2 linked regions of the Rhinolophus ferrumequinum genome follow. The protein of the gene in region 1 interacts with the protein of each later gene in a pairwise test. Links are inferred from orthologs where the notes say so. Each region holds a gene or a part of one and is shown on either strand. Other genes may lie near its edges.

Region 1 (10,462 bases):
GAATAGTAAAATGAATAACTGCAGACTTTATCCCTAAATTCTGTAACTGTTGAGTTCTTGCCAAATTTTTTTTCTCTTGCTTTAACCTTCAGAAAAACTGCACTTTTTAATTGCAGTTGCAGACATCATTTGAAGTTGCATGCTGCACCATGAGTCTTCTAAGAATAACATCCTCATACACAACTACTATATTCTCACATCAAAAAAAAAATTAGCCATAATTCCATTTTACTTAATATCCAGTCCACATTAAAACTGCCCAAGGATGTCTTTTATAATTGTTGTGGGTTTTTCGTTTTTTGTTTTTTTTTTCTTGACCAGGAGCCAATAAAGATTTGCATATTGCATTTTCATTATATGTCTTTGTTTTTAGGGAATAGTCCTCCCACTTCCCACCCTCCCACCCGCCACCTCTCATAACACTGATTTTTTAAAGGTCCCCGGCCAGTTGTCTTGTGGAATGTCCCAACCTTCTGTATTTATGTCACTTGTCATCTAGGCCTAGACTTGCCATCCTAGAATTCGTGGAGGTATCTGTAATATTTACTTGCCTTCTAGCCCCAACATTCTGTATTTATGTCATTTGACTTGTTCGTCTAGGCCTAGACTTGCCATTCTAGAATCCACAGAGGTAATCTGGAATATTTACTTGCCTTCTAGCCCCTTTGCCATCCCCAGAGTTCACCTGCCTTCAACCATAAATAGCAAGAGATCACAGATTAGCTGAACTCAAGCTTTAACCCTTGAAAGAAATTGTTAGCTTCAAGGAAGAAAACTTATTTAAATGAGACTGCCAAAGCAAAAGCTTTTAAGATAAAAGGAAAGGTGTCTCAGTTTAATGTTGATTTCCTAGCAAGTCTAGGGCGTGTAGCAAGGTGGGTCAATGCAAGAGCAGTGAGGGGCTAAGGACAGCTCTTGTTATGGGCATATGCAGGAAGGAACATCAAAGGTGCTGCCTTTAACTATTTTCTTTTGTCTACCAAATGCCTTTCAGCTTCTGTTGAGCTAAATGCTAAACTGAAAGAATAAAAAAGTGTATTATCCCAACTTTTCTCAGACTTTCGAATGGGTTAAAGGGACTGGGATGGGAGCAATGTGTGGCTAACTTCACTGAGACCCATTATTACGACCTGAGCTTCAGGCAGTATCTGATTTTGCCCCAAAATACTGTCCTCGTTTTTCAAGAGCATCACCTCCTTAAGTGGACTTGGAAAGCTCTGACAGAAAGGCCCTTTGCTTGAACTATTTCAAGGACAAATAATGAATATATTCTATTGGTGAGAAAATCCCAAATTAATCAGTCTACATTAATACGTAGGAGTGTGCCATACCTGTGCACAAGGTGTAAACAGGTCTAGAAGGGGCATCAATACGCAGAAGAACATGCTATGCTGGTATTTGTAGCCACACTTCCAGGATGGCTTATAGGGCCCAATACCTCTCTAGAAATACAGACTTAAATAAACAAAAGTTAGACCCCTGCAGAGGTGGTGTTACTCTGCAGGCTAGCTGTTTTTAAAAACATGATTGGCCAGATAAGATGCTTATCAGCCTGGTGCCTCAAATCCTCAGTTTATTTGAATGCCTTGTGAATGGGTAATCTCCTACAAGTTTTGGGGCTTTAACAAGGTAAACAAGTAGGTGGGCTGTGAAAGTAAACACTGCATTTCCTCCTAGGCTCATCCTTGGCTCCAAAATTCCGTTCCCCTCACTCCTTTCATGAGCCCCAGCCTTCCCCTTCCCAAGCTTGGTCTCTTGTACCTTGTAAAAGTACTAAAATTGCAAAGGAGACATTTTTAATTATAACTACTACAGTAATGAATTCAAGTACACTCGTTTGTCATAAAGGGCTTTCCCATCTGTCTCTAAAGTATACTTAAAAAGGCTGTGTATTTGATAACATTAGCACCAAGCAGCTTCTACATGTTAATGTTCAGTGTTTTAGATGTTCGCTCCCCCATCCTCAAAGACAGCATGGTGGCAGTTCCAGAAAGCACATTTATCGCTGTGTTTGGGAGTGTCTGTGTGGTCTCTTCCTAATTTATTTGCACTCCAATCCTCAGGGATAGCTTCGCAATCCCTGTAGGCTAAGAGAGATTAGAGATCGGGGTTGTCTGCTTCTCCCCACCCTCACAGAAAAGGGAAAACAACTTCCCCAAGTCCCACAAGTTCTTCTGGCCACTGTACAAATTGTTCTTGAACATGGAGGGTTTCCAAAAGCCCTAATTAGCAACTCACAGCAAACATTTCTTTGCATTAGCTAATGATCCGGCTACACTTGTAAGCAAACAGAACCAACATATCTAATCAATGCTGAAAAACCAACCAAATGCCTATTAAACATCTGGATGTAATTTTCTAGTTAGAACAAAATGAAAACATATGCAGGTCCCTTTGATCTGCGTCTTAACAACAACAAAAAAAATGTTGATAAAAAAGCATACTGGTCAGTCAATGTGTCATTTTCATAAAGTCTGCTCGTTTCTCTTCAAATGCTCCCAGTTTAATTTAGTTGGTTTCCTGCAATCTCTAATTTTACCATATTGTGTGAAACCACAAGAGATTCTTTGGATGTGATTTTATTTGAGGTTTTACTGCTGCATGGATCTGCTACTGATTTTTTTCTTCTTCTCTGCTTTCTCCCCTCCATCCCCCATGCCCACTCTGTCCTTTTCTTTGGTAAAAGGGTGTGTGTGGGGGGGAGTTATAATGCAATGTTAGGAAAATTTCTTCTGGACTCTACAGTCTTAGGTTTAAGAAACTCCCAATTTAAAAAAATAAGTCTAATGAGGAAATGTATACCCAATAATTCACAGTTAAAAGGAAGAGAAAATTACAAAACTGATCTTTTAAAAATTGACATATTATTTCAAATAAAAAAGTAATAGATTTAAAAGAAGATGCATAATTTCTATGACCAGCAGATTTTCCTACTGTATCTAGTACTTATACTATATGTAACATCTAGTTTTTGTAGTTGGCTTATGCTATTGGTGAGCTGCAAATTTGATAATCATCAACAAATGGATGAAAATATACCCATATATGCATCAGTGATAAAACAAACAATCTAACAATCTTTTTGTTTCTTTTGCAGAGGATAAAAAAGGAACTTTTTTTCAGAGACGATTTCCTACAGAAGTGGAATACTTAATACTATTTCATGTAAAAATAACATATGAATATGTTAAAGAAGATTATGTTTAATAGACTTTAAATAGAAGACCAAAATTATAGATGTTATGAGTAGGACCATTTTCTTTTAAACAGGCTGTAGGCAATCTACACATATATTATTTATTTAAAACATAAGATTAAAGCTACTTGATTGTTTAAACACCATAATTTGTAATGCAGTTTGATGAGTTTTGTAGTATAATTATTACAGCATGACAATCACAGAGAAAATATGACCTTGAAAAGAGACCCAGCCTTCTCCCTCTCTCAAGGAGGATGCGCTGCCCTAGAAACAAGTCATTGAAAACCCACCATCTTTATGCACACAATTAAGGGCCTTCCAATTTTGAAATCATCACCCTTTCTATTCTTCAGTTATAACATTATAAGGAAATCAGAGGCCTGGTGTTTCAAACTCTACTGGTAAGGAAGCACTAGTTAAAAGAGAGTTTCCAATTTTACCCATGGCAAACTGGGAAATATAGTGAGTAACAGCAAACATGTTTGCCATAAACAGCTATATTAGAGAAGATTTGAAGACAATGTTTTGAAGGGGATGGAAAGGTGATAGTAGAGAAGAAGTAGCAACATTTTCGTCCTATCTCAAAATATACCACTTTAATTTTCTCTGTTTAAATTTAATTACCAGCCTGTGCCAGTAAATCAAAGCAAAACGGGTAAGTGAGAGAGAAGTCTCAGTGGCCCCAGTTGTCCCAGCACGCACTGGCATATTTGTGACATCCAAACACTTTCTACACAGTCCTGCAGCTGATTATGGGGTGAACTGACCACAGATTAGCACATGTAGCCCAAACACTAGATGAAGATTTCAAGGCAGACTGGCTGCCAAAGGACAAAGCTTAGTTGCCCAGGGATCATATGATGTTAAGAAGTCCTGTGTGTGGAGCAAGCCTGCTCTGGTCATCACCAAATTTAACCAAGAAAAGAGGGGCGGTACTTCTTCCTTTCCATTCTCCATTTTAGCAAAATGAATATGACCCCCTTCCTAACTCTACTTAATTTGGTAAGAACACTGCAAAGCCACAATGCCCAACTTGATTAAGAATTTACAATGGACTTGTACAGCTGGCTAAAATAACTCCTTTAATTTTTCATTTATAATTGATGTTTGGGATTGATGCAGTTATAGACAAAACCATATCATACATATTTAAAAACAACTGCAACAGTGACATGTATTATCCAAAATGATTCTTTTAATATTTCAAGGAAAAGATCTCTGTAAAATAAAATGTATTTCTGCTTAAATTGTTTTCCGTAAGTCTCTTGAAAGTAAAATAATGGGACCGTGGGGTTATTAGTACTAAAAACTTGGTAAGTACATTCCAAGGTAACATGAATGCTTGTCAAAGATGTCTCTTACTCATGGAAGAATTCACCACCATTTGTCCAAAATAGCATTAGTCACTCACCAATCATGTGGAAATAGCTCCACTGAACTGTTCTTTAAACAAAAGTATAAATGCGGCAATATTGAAGGTTTTCTGCTGCGCAGTATATTTAGAGAAACAGACAAAAACCAGATATTTATACGGTATGCCCCATTTATTGAAAATCTCAAAATCCCTTTTATTTAAGTCAAGTTCCAAATCCATCTCATAATTTTAGCCATCTTATTTACCCAGCGCTTCTTATTTAGTTCCTTACAGGGCTCAGCCCTGGATACCACCCAAACTATGGGTGTGGGGTGGGCAGGACATGTTTTTTAGGTCTCAATGCTGGTTTATCCTATTGTCTCCCTTTGTTTCCAGGAATTGGAAACAGACTCGCGGTCATGTTAATGGGAGGCTCCTAAAACTCTCAGCAGTCCCTTACTCCCCAACACGGAGAAGTCGGAACTTTTAAGACAAGGACCCTAGATTTCGAGCCCCGGGGCAAAGCATCCCATCTGCGACTGGGACGCGCGTGCCTTACACTGGCAGCACCTCGGGTATACTTCCCGCTAAACGAGAGCAGGCCGACCTTTTCGCAAAGTGGTTTCAAATCCTCCAATAAAAACCAAATCCTATCACCTTGGGTGCAAAGGGGGCGTGGGCATTAAAAGCCTCGTCTTATGCGGCTGGTATACATACGCCAGCTAAATGCGTTGCCCACTTATTTTCCATCAAGTGCACAGTCCACTCCCCGTGCACCCGCGTAAAGGCAGCCCAAAGAAAAACAAACCAGAGAAATTTTTGAATGTGACCTCACTTTGAAAAGAGTAGCATCAAACAAGGGGATAGCACCAAAACATGCATTTGGCTCCAACTACCAAAAAGCCCCCTCTCCCATAAGAAACTACGCGGTTAGTCGCTGAGTTACTTTCACTGAAATCTCAGAATTTTCATTTAAGGGAACAGTGAAAAAGTGAACAGTGGCAGGAATTTTGCAAACTCGAGCCCCCAGTTTCCGTGGCTGCACACTTGCAGGTCCCTCTCGCTCTCGCGTTCCCGCGCGCTCCCTCCCAGGCCCCACGTTACTTTGATTGACAGCCGGGCCCCGCCGCTCTCCTTCCCACCGACCTTCCCATCCACAGTGCCAATCTCCGCGTCTCGCAGCTTCCCATTGGCTGGCTTCAGCGTCCCGCGGCTCCTCCAGGAACAGTTCCTCACCGAGCCCGGGAGGACGCGGCTGGCTGAGGAGGGGTGGGAGGGACCGGAGGGGAGCCGGTGGAAACAGCAGAGATGGAAGCAAGTGGAGTGGGAGGGGGGGGAATAGGAGGGAGGCGGCCCGTCCAGTGCTGCGCCGCCATAGGCTGCGGGGAGGGTTGCGTCAGCACCCCACGTTGGGCATCGCGCATGCGATTGGCTGACGCTGGACTCCGGCTCCCCCTCCCAGCCGTCCGGGCCCACGTCGCCCGCCGGCTGGGTGCTCTCGTTCCCCGCCCGCCCAGGGCTGGGCGGGGCCCGCGCTGGTTAGCTCCGGAGTGTGAAACCGCGTGTTAATGTAACCGGCGCGAGAGGCGCGGGCGGCGGCGGCAGTGGTAGGAACGGCGACTGCAGGAGCCGCAGCAGCGTCGGCGGGTTCTCTGTGCCCCGCGTCCCCGAGGCAGCCGACTGCACCACCCCCACCTTTTCACGGCCGGGCGGGACCCGCGCCACCAACCCGGACCTTCGCCGGCCCGCGGCGACTTAATCCCGGTGGGCTGCGGCTGCCCCGAGTACTCCAGACTCTCCCGCGGAGTTTGCCGGCCGGGAAGGGAGGCCGAGCGGCGACGCGCACTCCTGTTCTTCTTGCCACCATCTCGTGGATGTCGTACCCCGGGTCGTGAGAGAACTTTGCAGCGGGCTGGAGCGCCTTTTACGTAGAGGCATACGAAGGGAAGGAAAGAAAGAGGACCCAGGAAGGGTCCGAAGCGGCCGGACGGGTTGTGTGGGGCGAGTGCTCACCGGGCGCGGCTCCCGGATGCGCCCTGGCCTCAAGGAGCTGTGGGCGACCGCGGGACTGCCCTTCGTGGAGTAGCCCCGTCGGGCCTGGAGGGTTTGTGCAACCGCGGAGAACACCGAGTGCCGGTCGTACGGGGTGTGCGGGGCAGCCTCCCGGCGCGCCCTCCGCACTTTCCCAGCCTCGCTGTCATTCCGCGCTTCTCAGCCAGGGTTGAGTCTGCGGGGCGCCGGGCGCGGAGCCTACACCGCGGCTGGGACCTCGCTCCCCGCCGCTTTCTAGGGGCCCGCGAGTGCCCGGCAAAGGTGCTGCCTGGACCCGCGAAGGTGGGCTCCGAAACGTCACTAGGTTGGTTTGTGTGGGGTTAGCCGGCAGCCACCTGCACCTCGCCCGCTGCCGGCGCCGCGGGGAAAACCCGGAGAGGAGGCAGACCGGGAGAAGAGCAAAGGAAGACAGCCCGTCTGGATTTGTTTGCCCGGACGGTTGCCGCGCACACTGATCGCCTACAGGAGCGCGCCGGAGTCACCGTTCCCCCACCTCCTCGCCCAGGCGGCTAAGGCCTGCGGGTTGGAGAACAGCGCGGTGTCGCGGAGGTTCTTCGAGCAGCTGGGCCCGGGGTGCCCCACGATGTGGCCCTGAACGCGGGAGCCCACACTGGCGGGAGCAGGAGCAGCCGGGCGCGGAGTGGCCCGTGCGCCCCGCCGAGCGCGCCTGCGTGCGTGGCCAGCGGGCCCCCTGCGCGTCGCGTTTCTGCCGGGCTTACTGGCTTAATTTTTCTCGGCGGGATTAAAGTTGGAAATTGAGCGGAGAATTGAGTTGCCGGGGAACAGAGCCGCGGCGGCAGCCAGAGCGATGTTCCCGCAGAGCCGGCACCCGGTGAGGCGCGGCTGGCCGGGGAGACGGGGGTGGTGGTGGGGGGAGCGGGGGGCGGGGGGCGGGAGGCACTCTCCGTGCTGTGGGGAGGCGGGTGGCTGCTACATTCTGACGGACCCCCTCGTCTCCGGGTCTGCAAGATTGGGAGGTCCCGGGCCCTGCTCTCTTGAGGTGGGTAGTGGGCTGAAACTCCCAATTCCCCCCACCCCGTTTCTTCTGGGTCACCTCCTGCTTGACGTCTAGACAGGGTGACGGGGGCACCGGGAGAGGCCGGGGTTTCGCTCCCGCAACCACATCCTCCTCCTCCCCCGGGGAGGGGAGGGCGCCCCCCCGCTTTGTTTCTGGTCTCGCCTATTTGCATGTCAATGCGGCCCCCGTTCCGGCGCGCTTAAGTTGGCCTTGGCGACTCTGGGAACGGGGAGCGTTAGGGATTTGTTTTTCTTTTCTAGTCCCCGGGGTCTTTATCGCCCCCGTGGGGGAGGGCGCGGCGATGACGACAGTCTGGCCTGGTCCACCCTGGCCGCCGGGGAGCCCCTTTTCCTCCAGTCTGGTGACCCGGGAAAGGCTGGAGGGGGCTTAGAGCCTCTAGAAGCCGGGGGTCGGCGGAGTGTCCACTTTCCCTCTCCCCAAAGTGAAGCGCAAACTCGCGTTCGGGACTCCGTTATCCGCCATTTCTAACTTTATTTTTTGTTTGTGTTCCACCCACCTCTCTGTCCTCTAACTGCTTTATCCACCCGCCCGCATCTCCGTCCCACGGTCCCCCTCGCTGGTCGTCCCCCAGACGCCGCACCAGGCTGCAGGCCAGCCCTTCAAATTCACTATTCCGGAGTCTCTGGACCGCATTAAAGAGGAATTCCAGTTCCTGCAGGCGCAGTATCACAGGTGCGTGTCGGCCCGCGGGGGGCGACTGGTTGCCCGGGCAGTCCCGTGCCCCACGTCGCCCAGCCCCTGGGTGGCGGCGGCGGCGGCTGTACTTAGCATTTGTGTCCAGGCGGTGGCGTGTGGAGTCGCAGTTAAAACCTGTCATTCACGTTACCCCCTTTCCTGGCTCTTCCCGGGCCGCCTCTTCTCTTGTCTCCTCCTCCTCCCATTGTTTCCCTTCTGCCGGTTTGCTGCTGTTCCAGGGAGTCTATTTTCGTGTGTTTAGGAGTTAAATGAGAACTGTCAGTATTTGCACTTCATTTATTTGTTTTGCAACAAACAGGCTGAGCTAAAACCTTGGTTCAGTCGATGCCCCAGCCCTGGAGTGTCGGTTCAGGGAGGCAAAGCCAGTGTTGAAATCGCTGTTTGCTATGGTAGAGAATTGGGCTGAGGCAAAGTCCATTATGGAACGCTAGATGCTTTTAAGCTGTGCCCATCATTGGTGATCACGAGGGGGGTGGGTGTGTCAGGGAAAGCTAACCTGCTTTGGCGTCATTTCTGGGTAGATTTGGGTAGAACAAGGGATTGGAGTCACATTTGTATCCCTCTCAGCTTTAGTCTCTTCATCTAACGATACCTACTTCAAAAGATTTGTAAATAAAAACTATTTGTAAAGCACCACATCCATAGTGGACTTTCCAGAAATGTTAGTTTCTCGTTCCTATGAAGTCTTAGCTGATTAGAGCTAAGAAATAGCTGTAACGACAGTTTTTATTTTTGTCTTGCTTGAGAAAAAACACAGATGCTGGGGTGTGAATTTTCTTATTTTGTCAGAGGCTTTCTGATTATTGACCTTTTGTCTGCTTGAAGATAATAATCTCTAGAGCTTGAGGCATCCCTACCCACACACTGTTTACCAAGCAGGGAGGACTTCAGCCCACTTCACTGCAGTAGCTGCTTGACATATTTTGGCAGGGATTTGGAAATCAAAGGTTTTAAAAGGGACCAACAATTGTAGAGGTAACTTTACAGGTACAGTGTTTCAAACCTAGAGACTTTGAATTGGCAAAGGTAGTGCAGCTTTTGCCTGAGACTGAGGATTGTGCAAAGGCCAGATTTTGGTGGAGTCCGGAGAAGCACACTTTGATTCAGGGAAATAGGCGTGAACAGATGACCACCAGGAGGAATCAGTCTTCTGGGTAGATTAGAGGTTTTGACAGCTTTTGTTAATAATTCTTGGCATCTGACCAGGTATGCGCCAAGAAGAAAAAGAATAGTAGCTGAATGGATACCCTGTAATGTTCACCTTATTTCTTTCCCCTGTTAAATGCAGGGACAAAGCTTTTGGGTGTTTACCTAGATAGTTTATGGCTTTTCCAAATTGGTCTGTTTTTACTTGAAGTGTAAATATGTGAGGCAGATGTTAAAACAAGTGACATAATGTTTACATTAAGTTGCCTGTTTTGTTTTTGTAGCCTTAAATTGGAATGTGAGAAACTGGCAAGTGAAAAGACAGAAATGCAGAGGCACTATGTGATGGTAGGTATCAATTAGATTTTTTTCCTTTTCGTGTAATATGAGCAAATACATGTTCTTAGCATCATAAAACATGAATTAATGAAATGATTGGTTCTTTTTTTCTTCTCACAGTATTATGAAATGTCATATGGATTAAACATAGAAATGCATAAACAGGTAAGCATTAGTTAAATCTTAAGCCGTAATGAGAAATTAGTTATGATTTTCTCAATAGTGGCTTTGTCTTCTTGTGGGGGGTTTGTGTGCTATTTTTCTGCCTTGGTTTCCCTTCTTGCAAATTGTTGGTAATACTTTGCAGCAAGGATTGCTTCTTGACAGTTACAAAATGTTTAAATGACTGGGTGAGAGGTGCTTTGAAAATGTAAACTAGCTTGTGTATGGTCAGATAGGAATTGAGACTCTGAGTTTACTTTTCCACCTGGATAGATAAATTCTCCTCTTGAAAGATCTGAGTATTCTGTAGAGTTGCTGAAGTTGAGAATAGCTAATATTTTTGTTCTGATTTGGAAAGAAGTGTGGACCTGTGAGACACTCTTGTCTTTAAATAAGGTCAAACAAGGTATATGACTAACTATGGAATTTTCTTTATGCTTTGGAGCTGCATAAAGTGATACTCAAGATTGATGGC
Region 2 (10,484 bases), on another chromosome or scaffold:
CTCCACTGGGACACAGATTTTTGTCTTTGTTCACTGCTGAATCCCAGTACTTAGAAAATGTCTGGAACACGACGGGGGCTTAACACATAGTCAGGGAATGAACAGACAGACAGGTACACTGTTGATGTCCCATTTTACAGATAAGAAAACTGAGACTAGAGAAGGCAGGTAACTTAACCCCAGGTCCCACAGCAGAAAGAGGAGGAGCTGGGAATACAGCCTGAGCCGGCTGGCTTTCGCCACCCTCTCATGATGCCAAACCACCTCTCCGAGAAGGTCCCAGACTCCCCCTGGCCTTGAGGGAACTGGGTGTGGGGGCCCTTGGGAGCAGGTGGGGGCCCCACAGCTGAGCACCTGGTTCTCCAGCAGCCTGGCAGCTGACACCTGGTCACCACCATCACTCAGGTGGATTGCGTCTTTGTGATGAAGATCTCATTTTTGTTACTGATTTCACATATTTTTCTCTTAAGGAATGCGTTTACTGTGAAAACATGGAAAAAGGCAACATCTGTGTGCCATATGAGGAGCATATCCCTGCTCTGGGACTCAACGAAATGACAGGCACCAAAGAAGAGGAAAATGGACCCCCCCTGAGTCACAAAAACTAAGGGCGGACATAACCCCGCCCACCTGCCCCACCAGCCTGTGATCTACATTAGATGGTGCTGGAAGGGAGGATGACAGAGCCTCACATTTGTTTCTAATGAAATGGACAGATATACTTAACATTGTTTTTTTTGTTTTAGAAAAAAATAGTATTCTGAAGGGGTGACTGAAAACTGGACAGTGGGAACGGTTTGGGAAGAAATACATTTTTATATTTAAAATATAAATGTGGACTTTGGGGGACGGGGAAGAGATTTTCGTTACTATTTAACTTGAGAAAGACAGAATCCCCCTTTTTTAGTGTCAGTGAACTTGCCAAAACGCTCGCAGAACTACTTGGGGTGCGCTGAGCCTCTGAGCGGCACATCCGTGTCCACTGGCCTCCCGTGGGGTGTCCCGAGGCTGTGACCACATGCGACTCGGAGCTGAGGGCACCCACCTCCTGGAACCTTTCCAGGGTGTGTTTGTACAGATCAAATTCCGTCCTCTCTCGGGGGCTGCTTTTTATCTAAATTATTATCTAGTCAAACTAGATGTTTTTTACCAAGTGGAGATCACAGCCTCTCCTACTTTTCTTTCAAAATGTTTTCGCATTAAATGGTGTGAAGTGTATGTAGTTTGGCAAACCAGCAGCTTCTGCTTCACGTACTGTGGTGGCAACAGATTCTACGTGACGTAGCTTTCGTTTGGGGTGAACAAAGTTGAAATGCTCGCTCTGCATTAACAAAGCCTAGTGGTTTCAGATTCATACATGGCCAAACCCTCCTGTGTGTTTCCAGATCATTCTGGGACCCTTTTCCAGACCATGACCCATTTGTATGTTGTCCGTCATCTCCTTATGGTGACTGCCCTCTGCAAACCAGGCTTTGATCACTGCATTTGGGACCCATTCGTGTTTGTTCTTCATCTGACACCTCCCAGACATGAGCTCTGGCCCTGGCAGAGAGCTGCCGCTGACACCGCGGGCCCCCAGTGACCCGTCGTGCATTTCCCGGGGTGCTGTGCACTCACCTCTGCCCTATGGGCTACGACGTGGGCCCTCGACCTCTGTGTGCCTCACCTCGCTTGGTGTACCTTCCGGTCTCTGAGGTAATGTGCCCTAGTGTCACGGGTACTTTCAGGCCATTGGGTGGGTGAGGCCAGTCTGCCCAACTTTTTGCCAAATCTCATGCTGCATCATATATCCCAAAGATTGTTTGGAATTTTCTTGGTCCCTGGAGTGAATGAAAAGATCCCACTGATGAAAGAATTGACTTAGAATTGGACTGAGTCTGTAGAGACCAAAAGGAAGCAGGTTTTCTCTTGTCTTCTGCTGGAGAAGTGGCTGCTACAACAGGTGACGTCTGCTTGTCATCCAGCCGGTTTCCATAGTGACACCATCTTATGCCTGAATAGTAATTCTATTTTTTTATAAACTCAAACAGAAAACACTGTTTAAATTTTTTTGAATTTACAAAGTAGCATCACCTTCAGATTTGGCGTGTGTGGAAACTAGATGCTGCAAACTGCTTCCTGACTCTGATCTCGTCGTTAAGGGATTAAACGAGAGTCAAGGTTACGTTTCTGCTCCCTGAACATAAACTGCAGAAACGTTCTCCGCTGTTATGAATGTTCACCGTCAGCATTATTTCATTATTTTATGTATTCTCATTGATTAACTGTGTATCTTCAACGTGCTGAGAAGGTGACAGTAGGAGCATTTTGTGAAATTGTTTACACGGTGCCACGCATTGAGTCATATGTTTTCTTTAGAATGTGTGCTTACACGGGTATTATAAAAACCTTCTCGATTTTAAACTGAGCCTTCTTTTTAATATATTCCTTAAAAAGGTCTGTAAATAAGCTCTCCGAGTCTGTGTAATGACTTGCCGGACAAGTGGTTTGTTCGTGAGCAAACCAAGCTTTCTCCACCCAGTGCAATATGTTTGTTTGACTGCTTGTGTCTTTTTATGACTTTTTTGCCTTTTAGAAAATTGGTAAATAAAGCAAGTATATTTTTATTTGTATGTATTTTCAATGTAACACAGAAGAAAACTGGAATAGAAGTCAAAGATTATCAAAAGATTTTTTAAAAACAAAAAACTGGAAATTCTGCTTTAGGGACTTTCTATCACAAAGGTCTCTCATCTCTTCCCTCGCACAGCACGCTTCTCGCTGGTCCCTTCCTGCCTGAGTGTGTCTCTCTGACGTACTTTGGACCTATGAGCTGGGGCTGGAGCTGCCGCAGCTCTAGCCCAGTGAACTTTCTGGGATATAAATATAGTCTTGTAATCCAGTTCTCCCACTTGTTTTCACTTACACATGGGGTGGGGTGAGGGTATTTGGCTCCGCCCCTGGAGCTCCTTTTCACCGCTGTGGTGACCTCAGTCACCTCCTGTCCCTTAGTGCCCCGCCCATGGTTGTCTGTTCCTCCTGGGCTGGCTGCTTACGTGCTGGCCATGGCCTGAAAGCAGAGACAGCAGGGCCACGAAGACCTCATATATCTGTCAGAGATGGTACAGGCAGCACAGCGCGGTCTCGCCCCACCCCAGCCGTCCAGTGCTTCCTTCCACAGTGATGAAGCCATGTGGGGCCTGGTCAAAACCGTGGAAGACCGTGGGGGTCAGAGCGGGGAGATGAATGGACACTGGACCCTGTGCCCCACCTTCGAGAAGCTCCCTAAACAGGAGGGACGGCTTGACTCTCCCTCCTGGCCTGGCTGCCTAACACCAAGTGATGATGGGGGAGTGGGGACAAAAGGCAGCGTCTCCCAGTGGGCAGAGACCTCTGCAAGCTGGCCCTAAGTGGCCAGATGTGGCTCTGTTGCCCTGGACTTCTGAGTGCCCGTGGGGATTCTTAATCGCACTTACCACAGAAGCCCAGAGGCACATCCCACCCCCCTTATTTACAGGAGCTTTTTAGAGCCTCCTGGGCTGACCCACAGGCGCCTACACACCCACAGGCTGCCCACTGTCTTTGTTCCCTAGAGATTTACAGCCTGCCACCCCTGCCGCTATCTGGTCCCCCTGTAGCCACCAGAGCCCTGCCCAGGCTCTGCTCTCCTCTCTTCCTGGATCTGAGGGGATCAAAGGGCCCAAATGCTCAGGAAGTTCTATGCTCAGGCAACCTTTGAAGGTGGGATGGCTCCAAGGGACAAATGGCAGGAAGTGGGTCTGCTCGGGGAGGCCACGTGAAGGAGGGAGTGAGAGCTTGGTGGCCCCAACATGGAGCAGCCAGGCTTCTGGGAGGAAAAGGCCAAGCCAGCCAGTCAGCCAGTGGGCCCACTAAGGGAAACTGAGGCTGATTTCAAAGGTGGGACCTCAGGCAACACCCAATCAAGACACATACCCCACTCTATCCTGCTTTTTTCCCCAAGGGCACTTGCTCACACTGGGACAGAAGCCAGCACTTCAGTTCTCTTTCCCTCAATGTAGACAGCCCTCCTCAATCCCCCTGCCCCACGTAGGACAGGTGTGGGAGGTTCCTGGCCCTCCCTTCATCTCCTCCCTTCTCCTGACAACTGGCACCTGTCCTTTGCGTTCTACAGTCAACCTCATACCATGTCCCGTAACCGTAATTAAGCCTTCTTTGCTTTCTCTCTAGATGATTCTAAATGTGGAAACCTATGAACAGTGCTGTGATTGTGAAAGAATTGGCTACTGAGCTAAATAAGGTGCTAAGATTACATTTCTCTTCTTGGGCAGCTTGTTGTTTTTCCTAAGTTCCAAGCTGCCTTTCAGGTTTTTTGTTGCACCATTTGCCTTTATCATGTCTTCCTCCATGCGTCACATTCAGGACCCCATCCAATCAGGTGTTCTAGCAATTTTGTTTTCTAGTCATCTTTTCCCCAAGCTCCCCACCTGCTCCAGGGGACCTGACCATCCTGTCCCAGTGAACTGCCTTTCATAGAGAGCATTCTATAATACCTGTTTGGCCTCCTTCACACAATATAACAGGCAATGAGGGGTATGAATCAGAGTATGAGAGATCACTGAGTATTTTTCCATACCTCGATTTCTCAAAGTAGTAGAAACTTAACTGTAGTTACTTGTGTGTTGGGGGTGGGGAGGTGCCTCCTTCCCTGAGGCGATGTCTAAACAGCAAAGAAGAATAAAGTTCCAGGCCAGCTTGGGGTCCGTCACTCAACTGCCTGCACTGTCAATCCCACCGGGAGGAGCAGGGAGAACAGACAGTGGGTCTGAGCCACCCAGGAGCGGAGGAGGAAGAGAGCTGAGTTTTCTGGCTTGTGGGGGAGCTTGAGAACAACAGGGGCGATTGAAGGAAAGCAGTGGGTTCAACACCCAGCTGAGGGAGTTTCAGGGGGCTCCTCACAGAGAAGCAACCAAGCAGCAGGCAGCAGAGAGGCAGGTGAGAATCAGCAGGAAGGGCTCCCAGGTAGTTACACAGGTCAGTGAGGTGACTTTGGGGACCTTCAAACCTCTCCCTAAACTTGTCCTGCCTGTGGAGATCCCTCTGGTGGGGAGCCCAAAGGGAAATAGCCACTGGAGGGCCGCCAGGTCCATCTTCCAGTGGCTGGGGGTGGGTGATAACATCTGTGGCCTAGTCCTACCAACTGCACCATACTGCAGTCCCTGGATGTCTCCTTCCCTGCTACCTGCCACACAGGCTTGGGACACCCTCTGACCTGCCCTACCCACCCACTGTATCTGTGAGACCAGGCAGATAGGGGGTCCTAGATCAGACTGTCTCTTGACCAGGGATGCTCATAGCCTGGGGGGTGCAGACCAGACCCTGACTATCCTAATCCTGGGTGAGTGGGGGGTCTAGGAAAGGTGCAGGTGCTCTCCCACCAGGTAGATGAATAAGGAAGCTGAGACCTGAACAGTGAGGAAATAGCCATGGTGGGTAAAGGGGGGTTGGAGAGTGTTCCAAGCGGAAGACCAAGGTCAGAGGCATCTTGGCATTGCGGCTCTGCCTGGAGGCACGGATGTAGTAGGCCGGTGGAGAAGGGGCCAGGCCTCGGTCCCCAGGGCGCTGCCCAAGGGCGCGGCCCCATCACTCACGCACCCCACCCGCCGGGATGCCGGGCCGGCAGATGGGCAGCCCGCGGTGGGGGTGGCGGTCGTCTGGCGGACACAGGCGCGCCCGCCGCCCGCCCGCGGGACAAAGCCAGCAGAGACAAAGGCGCGGCCAACACCTGTCGCTCTTGGCGGGGCCGCCGCTTTTCTCCGCCGAAGCGGCTGCAGCTGCCAACTGTCACGGGCATCAAGTTACGAGGTCCAGACGGCGGCCTCCGCGAGCCTGGCGGGTGGAGGGCTGGGCGGGGGGAAAGGGTACCGAAGGGGGACCCGGCGGGGGGACTGGGGGAAGGGGGGCCGGGGCGAACCAACTGGGGTGAGGACCAAAGAAGGGTGGGCGGTAGCGGGGAACCAGGGAAAGGCGGGGTCGGGGGGCGGGGAAGGCGACCCCGAAGGGTTGCATCGGGCAGAGGGGGGAAAGGGGGGACCGAAGGAGCGAAGGGTATTAGGGGGAGATGGGGGACTCCGGGGGTGACGGGGATGATGACCACAGGAAAGAACCGACGGCAGGGGACGAAGGAAAGACGGGCGGGAGTCAGGGAATGACCAGAGGAGAGCCTGCAGGAGCAACGGTGCCAGCGAGCCCGCGAACCCTGCCCCACTAGCACCCCCGTGCAGGCGGAGGGCGGCCGGTATCCAGACACAGAAATTCGCAAGAAACGCAAGGGGGCCATGGGCCTGCTCCCACACCCGTTGCCCCATGAGTCCTCACTTCCGCAGGGCTCTGCAGCCACCCCAGTCCAGACTCGTAGTCCCCCAGGTCTGGAGACAGCGGATTCGACTGCCTCTGCCCCCCCACCCCCCAGAACCCAGCACGCCGGCACACGGTGCTCCTCTCGCGAGGCACCTTCGAAGAACGAAGCCAAGTGTGAATGAGTGAATGACTAGATGAAGGAAGTAATGGATGAGCTCCTGCTCACACGCACAGCTGACCTGGGGGCCTTGTTCAGGGAATGGAGGGAAACAAACGCACCCCGAGCCGCAGCTCCCCCGGCTCACCGCCCCCTCGGGTGCCTTCCCCGCGGGGGTCGCGCGGAGGCCAAGCCGGGAGCCACGCCCGTCGGCCACGCCCCTCCAGCTGCCGGAGGACCCCGGCGGCGGGACTGGACAAAGCGCGCCGCTCCTGTTGGCTGCAGCGCGCCTCCCCGCCAGTAGCTCCAGGCCTGCGCGGCCAATCGGCGCATTGAGATGCAAATAAGGCACTATAAAAGGGGCGGGGCCGCAAGGAGCGGAAGACGCGACAGAGTGAGGGCGGTGGCTGGCAGGGCGGCGGCGCTGCTAGGGGCGCGGGCGCTTAGCGCGCTCGCGGCGCTCCAGGCGGTGCGGCTCATGGCTCCGCCCCTCGCGTCTGGCCGGGACCGTGCGGGCCGGGAGGATGAGGACTGCTGGGAGGCGCGGGGGGACCGCAAGGTGCAGGCCGGGGCTGCGGGCGGGCGTGCGGGGGGCCGCGCGGCGCTGGGGCTCAGTCGCCCGCTTCCCGCAGGCCCGGAAGCCCCTAGTGGAGAAGAAGCGGCGCGCGCGGATCAACGAGAGCCTGCAGGAGCTGCGGCTGCTGCTGGCGGGCCCCGAGGTGAGGCAGGCGGGCGGGTGCCCAGGAGCTGCCGAGCGGGTGGGGGTGGTCGCGGCTCTACCGGGCCTCACCGTGCATCCCTCCCTGGCGCCCCCGCCGGTGCAGGTGCAGGCCAAACTGGAGAACGCCGAGGTGCTGGAACTGACGGTGCGGCGAGTGCAGGGCGCGCTGCGGGGCCGAGCTCGCGGTGAGTGGAGGGCAGGCGAGCGGGCGGGGGCGCGGGACGCGTTTTCCCACCCCGCCCCTGCCCGAGAGTTAGGACATCCCCTCCGGGCGCCCGGGTGCTGTTCACCACCAGAGCTCTCCCCGGAGTAGCGCGCTCCCCTCCGTCTTCTGGGTAAGCCGCGTCCCCGCGGGCCAGGACACAGCAGTCCGGGCTCACAGGGCCGGGTGCGGTTCTCTCCCTCCCATCCCCGGGCGCAGGACGCGAGCAGCTGCAGGTGGAAGCGAGCGAGCGCTTCGCCGCCGGTTACATCCAGTGCATGCATGAGGTGCACACGTTTGTGTCCACATGCCAGGCCATCGATGCCACCGTCGCCGCCGAGCTCCTGAATCACTTGCTGGAGTCCATGCCGCTGCGCGAGGGCAGCAGCTTCCGGGATCTGCTGGGGGACACCCTGGCCGGGCCCCCCGGAGCCCCCAGACGAAGTGGCTGGCTCACAGGGGGTGCCCTAGGGTCCCCGTTGCCCAGTCCTCTGGGCCACGGGGACGACCTGTGCTCCGACCTGGAGGAGGCCACCGAGGCTGAACTGAGCCGCCCACCTGCTGAGGGACCAGACTTAGTGCCAGCGGCCCTGAGCAGCCTGACCGCTGCCCGCATAGCCCAAAGTGTCTGGAGGCCTTGGTGACCAACGCCAGCCCGCTCTCTGGTCCCTCCTCCCTGGGGTCCAGATGTCGTGGGGCAGGATACTGGATGTCTCCCAGGTCTGCCTGCCTTGTTCCTCCAGTGGACGGCTTGTAGGGCAGTCCTGGATCACCCAACTAGTCAGGCCCCTAGCCCTATTTCTTAAGGGAGTAACTTTTATGGACCCCACAGTCCCGGGTGGGTGGAGAGTGGACTACAGGCAGGAGGAAGAATCCTGCAGAGCTACCAGGGCCCCCATGGGTTCTCCTGTCCCAGCCTTCTCAGGCACTGTCCCTGTTAGGGGACAGAGGTGACCGGAATGGTGCTGAGCCTCTCCTCCATGCTGGGCACTGGTGTCTGGGCAGAGGGAGACCTCAGGCCCTGGCAGCGGTGGCCTGAGCAGAAGCTTGCACTTGCCACTTCAGCCAGGACATGGGAGGCAAGTGCAGCATTGCCCATAGCTGCTGGAGAGAAGTGCGGCTTTTTGTATGTCTTGCATTTAGCACACTTGAGTTTGTGTATGTATTAGGTTGCCATCGAATGTTCCAATTCTATTAAATAAAGGATTTGGGAGAGTTAGTTTCCCTTCTGGAGTATTACTGAATGGTGTGGTGTCATTAATTTGTCAACTGTGAAAATAGGAAAGGAAGCACGTTCTTCCTGTGTCTAATGCTGGGGATGTTTTTGAAAGCTCTCACCCTTTGTCAGCAAAGTGAGTAGAGTGAAGGCGGTGGAGCTGGGACACGTCTCAGTGGACAGTGCTCCCCACTCCCTGTCGCTGGGCAGTTCCAGGTGGGTTTCCCCTGCAGGCCTGGCCTGCTCTCCCCAGGATTGTGTGCAGACGAGATGGATACCACTGGCACAGGGCTTGTCCCAGAGTAACCAAGCAATAGGGAAATAGGGAAACAGCCTGCCCCCGGACCACTCTCTGGTTCATGAGTTCCTAGGAACAAACTGATGCCTGACTGCTAGCCACGTGGTTTGGAAGTTTCTTTCAAAGACCTGCATTGGGATCCATGAGCATGATGTCCGTCTACTTGTGTTAGGTTATCACTTTTCTTGACTGAAGGAGCTTCCACCACACCCAGTGACTTCAGGGTTATGGAGACCCACCCATTTCATGTCTTGAAGTGAAGGTGCCCGTGGCTGCAGGCTGCTTGGACTGGAGGTCAAACGGGCCCAAGAGGTCAGAAACCTTGGAAGAAGGGTGACAGGATGGGTCGTTGGGGTTTAGGGAGGACTGCCCTCTTGGGCGGGGTCAGGGCTGCAGCTGGCATATGGTCCATTGCCAGCAGTGACTGCCCCAGGGAGCCCAAGCTCCCCATCTGCTCCAGGACTCCAAAGCAGCTTGTTCTCACTTTGGGTTGGCAGTGCCCAGGCCTGGAGCTCGGTGTGACCATTTAGTATTGACACCTGGTTGTGTGCCTCCAAACGCATTGTCACTGCCCCAGTCCTTGCCACTTCACGGCACCCCGTTAATTAGGCGAAGAATCTAGAAGTTACCCTCGATTTCTTTATTTTCCTGTCATCCTACTCCTACTCAATCAAGTTCATTAAACTATTTCTAAATCCTCCCTCCATTTTGTCACCTTTCCCACCACCCGAGTCCATCTTTTACTTGGATTCGGGCAGCAGACCTAATTCGCCTCCGCACTTCCACGCGGAGCGCCTGACCTCCCGGCCATCTCCAGGCCCCCTCCCTCCCGCAGCTCTGCTCAAGGTTCGGACCTTTGCTTAGCGACCTGACAGCGGGTATCCGGCCAGTCTCGCTCAGCGCCGAGCGCCGGCCGGTGAGCCGTTCCTGGACCGCCCGAAGCATTGCGGCTGTCGGAGGGACTGGGGGTGCAGAGCTGCAGGCGCCGGTGGGCTGAGTTCGAGCAGCGCGCAGCGCTCGGAGGCGCTGGAGGCGCTGGAGACGTTCGGAGAGGCTCGGAGGCTTTCGGATGGTGCCCAGCGACGGAGGCGCTGGGCCACGCCCCCGCTCCGTCTCCACGCCGCCCGAGGCGAGCCACTGGGCTTCCTGGGAGATATAGTTTCCATCCTTCGACTTCCCTTTCCCCGGGGCCACTGCAGGCAGAGCTGGGACTGCGACTCCCAGAGGCCTCCCCGGCCCGGAGGCCCCTCCCTCCGCCGCCCTGAGCTCCAAGCCCCCTTCCCTATTATGCCTGTGAAGTTCAAGGGCGGCTCTGCGCCCCGCCCAGGCTGGCCCGCGGTCTCGCCAGCATCCCCAGGATCAGGCAAGGAAGCGACGTAGGCGTCGGCGCCCAGCAGTTCGGGCCCTCCATAGCTCGAGCCGCCCATTTTACGCGAGGGGAGGCGAAGCTAGAGGGCTCCTGGCCGGCCGGGCAGTCGTCTGCGCTGGTTCCTGCCCAGGGCCGCTGGGACTGGCCCACGGCTGGAGACCCGTACCACCGAGCGTGGGTCATAGGCAGCCTGCAAGTCGGGA

What was found.
Region 2: the proteins of TLE1 (region 1) and HES6 interact in binary tests that used the Homo sapiens proteins (3 or more experiments, as listed by UniProt). The link is inferred for Rhinolophus ferrumequinum from reciprocal best matches to the Homo sapiens genes TLE1 and HES6.

The regions. Positions count from the first base shown.
Region 1 is NC_046295.1:45,521,624-45,532,085, reverse strand, and holds the start of TLE1 (transducin-like enhancer protein 1), read left to right. Parts: upstream 1-6,064; 5' UTR 6,065-7,413; coding exon 7,414-7,437; intron 7,438-8,215; coding exon 8,216-8,316; intron 8,317-9,770; coding exon 9,771-9,834; intron 9,835-9,945; coding exon 9,946-9,990; intron 9,991-10,462. UniProt on the Homo sapiens protein: Transcriptional corepressor that binds to a number of transcription factors. Inhibits NF-kappa-B-regulated gene expression. Inhibits the transcriptional activation mediated by FOXA2, and by CTNNB1 and TCF family members in Wnt signaling.
Region 2 is NC_046291.1:2,244,977-2,255,460, forward strand, and holds HES6 (transcription cofactor HES-6), read left to right. Parts: upstream 1-6,868; 5' UTR 6,869-6,953; coding exon of another isoform or gene 6,954-6,999; coding exon 7,000-7,194; intron 7,195-7,299; coding exon 7,300-7,381; intron 7,382-7,617; coding exon 7,618-8,042; 3' UTR 8,043-8,357; coding exon of another isoform or gene 8,358-8,524; 3' UTR 8,525-8,637; downstream 8,638-10,484. Other genes in the region: PER2 (period circadian protein homolog 2), read left to right, coding at 471-608; uncharacterized protein LOC117025922, read left to right, coding at 8,358-8,524, 9,803-10,041, 10,179-10,484. UniProt on the Homo sapiens protein: Does not bind DNA itself but suppresses both HES1-mediated N box-dependent transcriptional repression and binding of HES1 to E box sequences.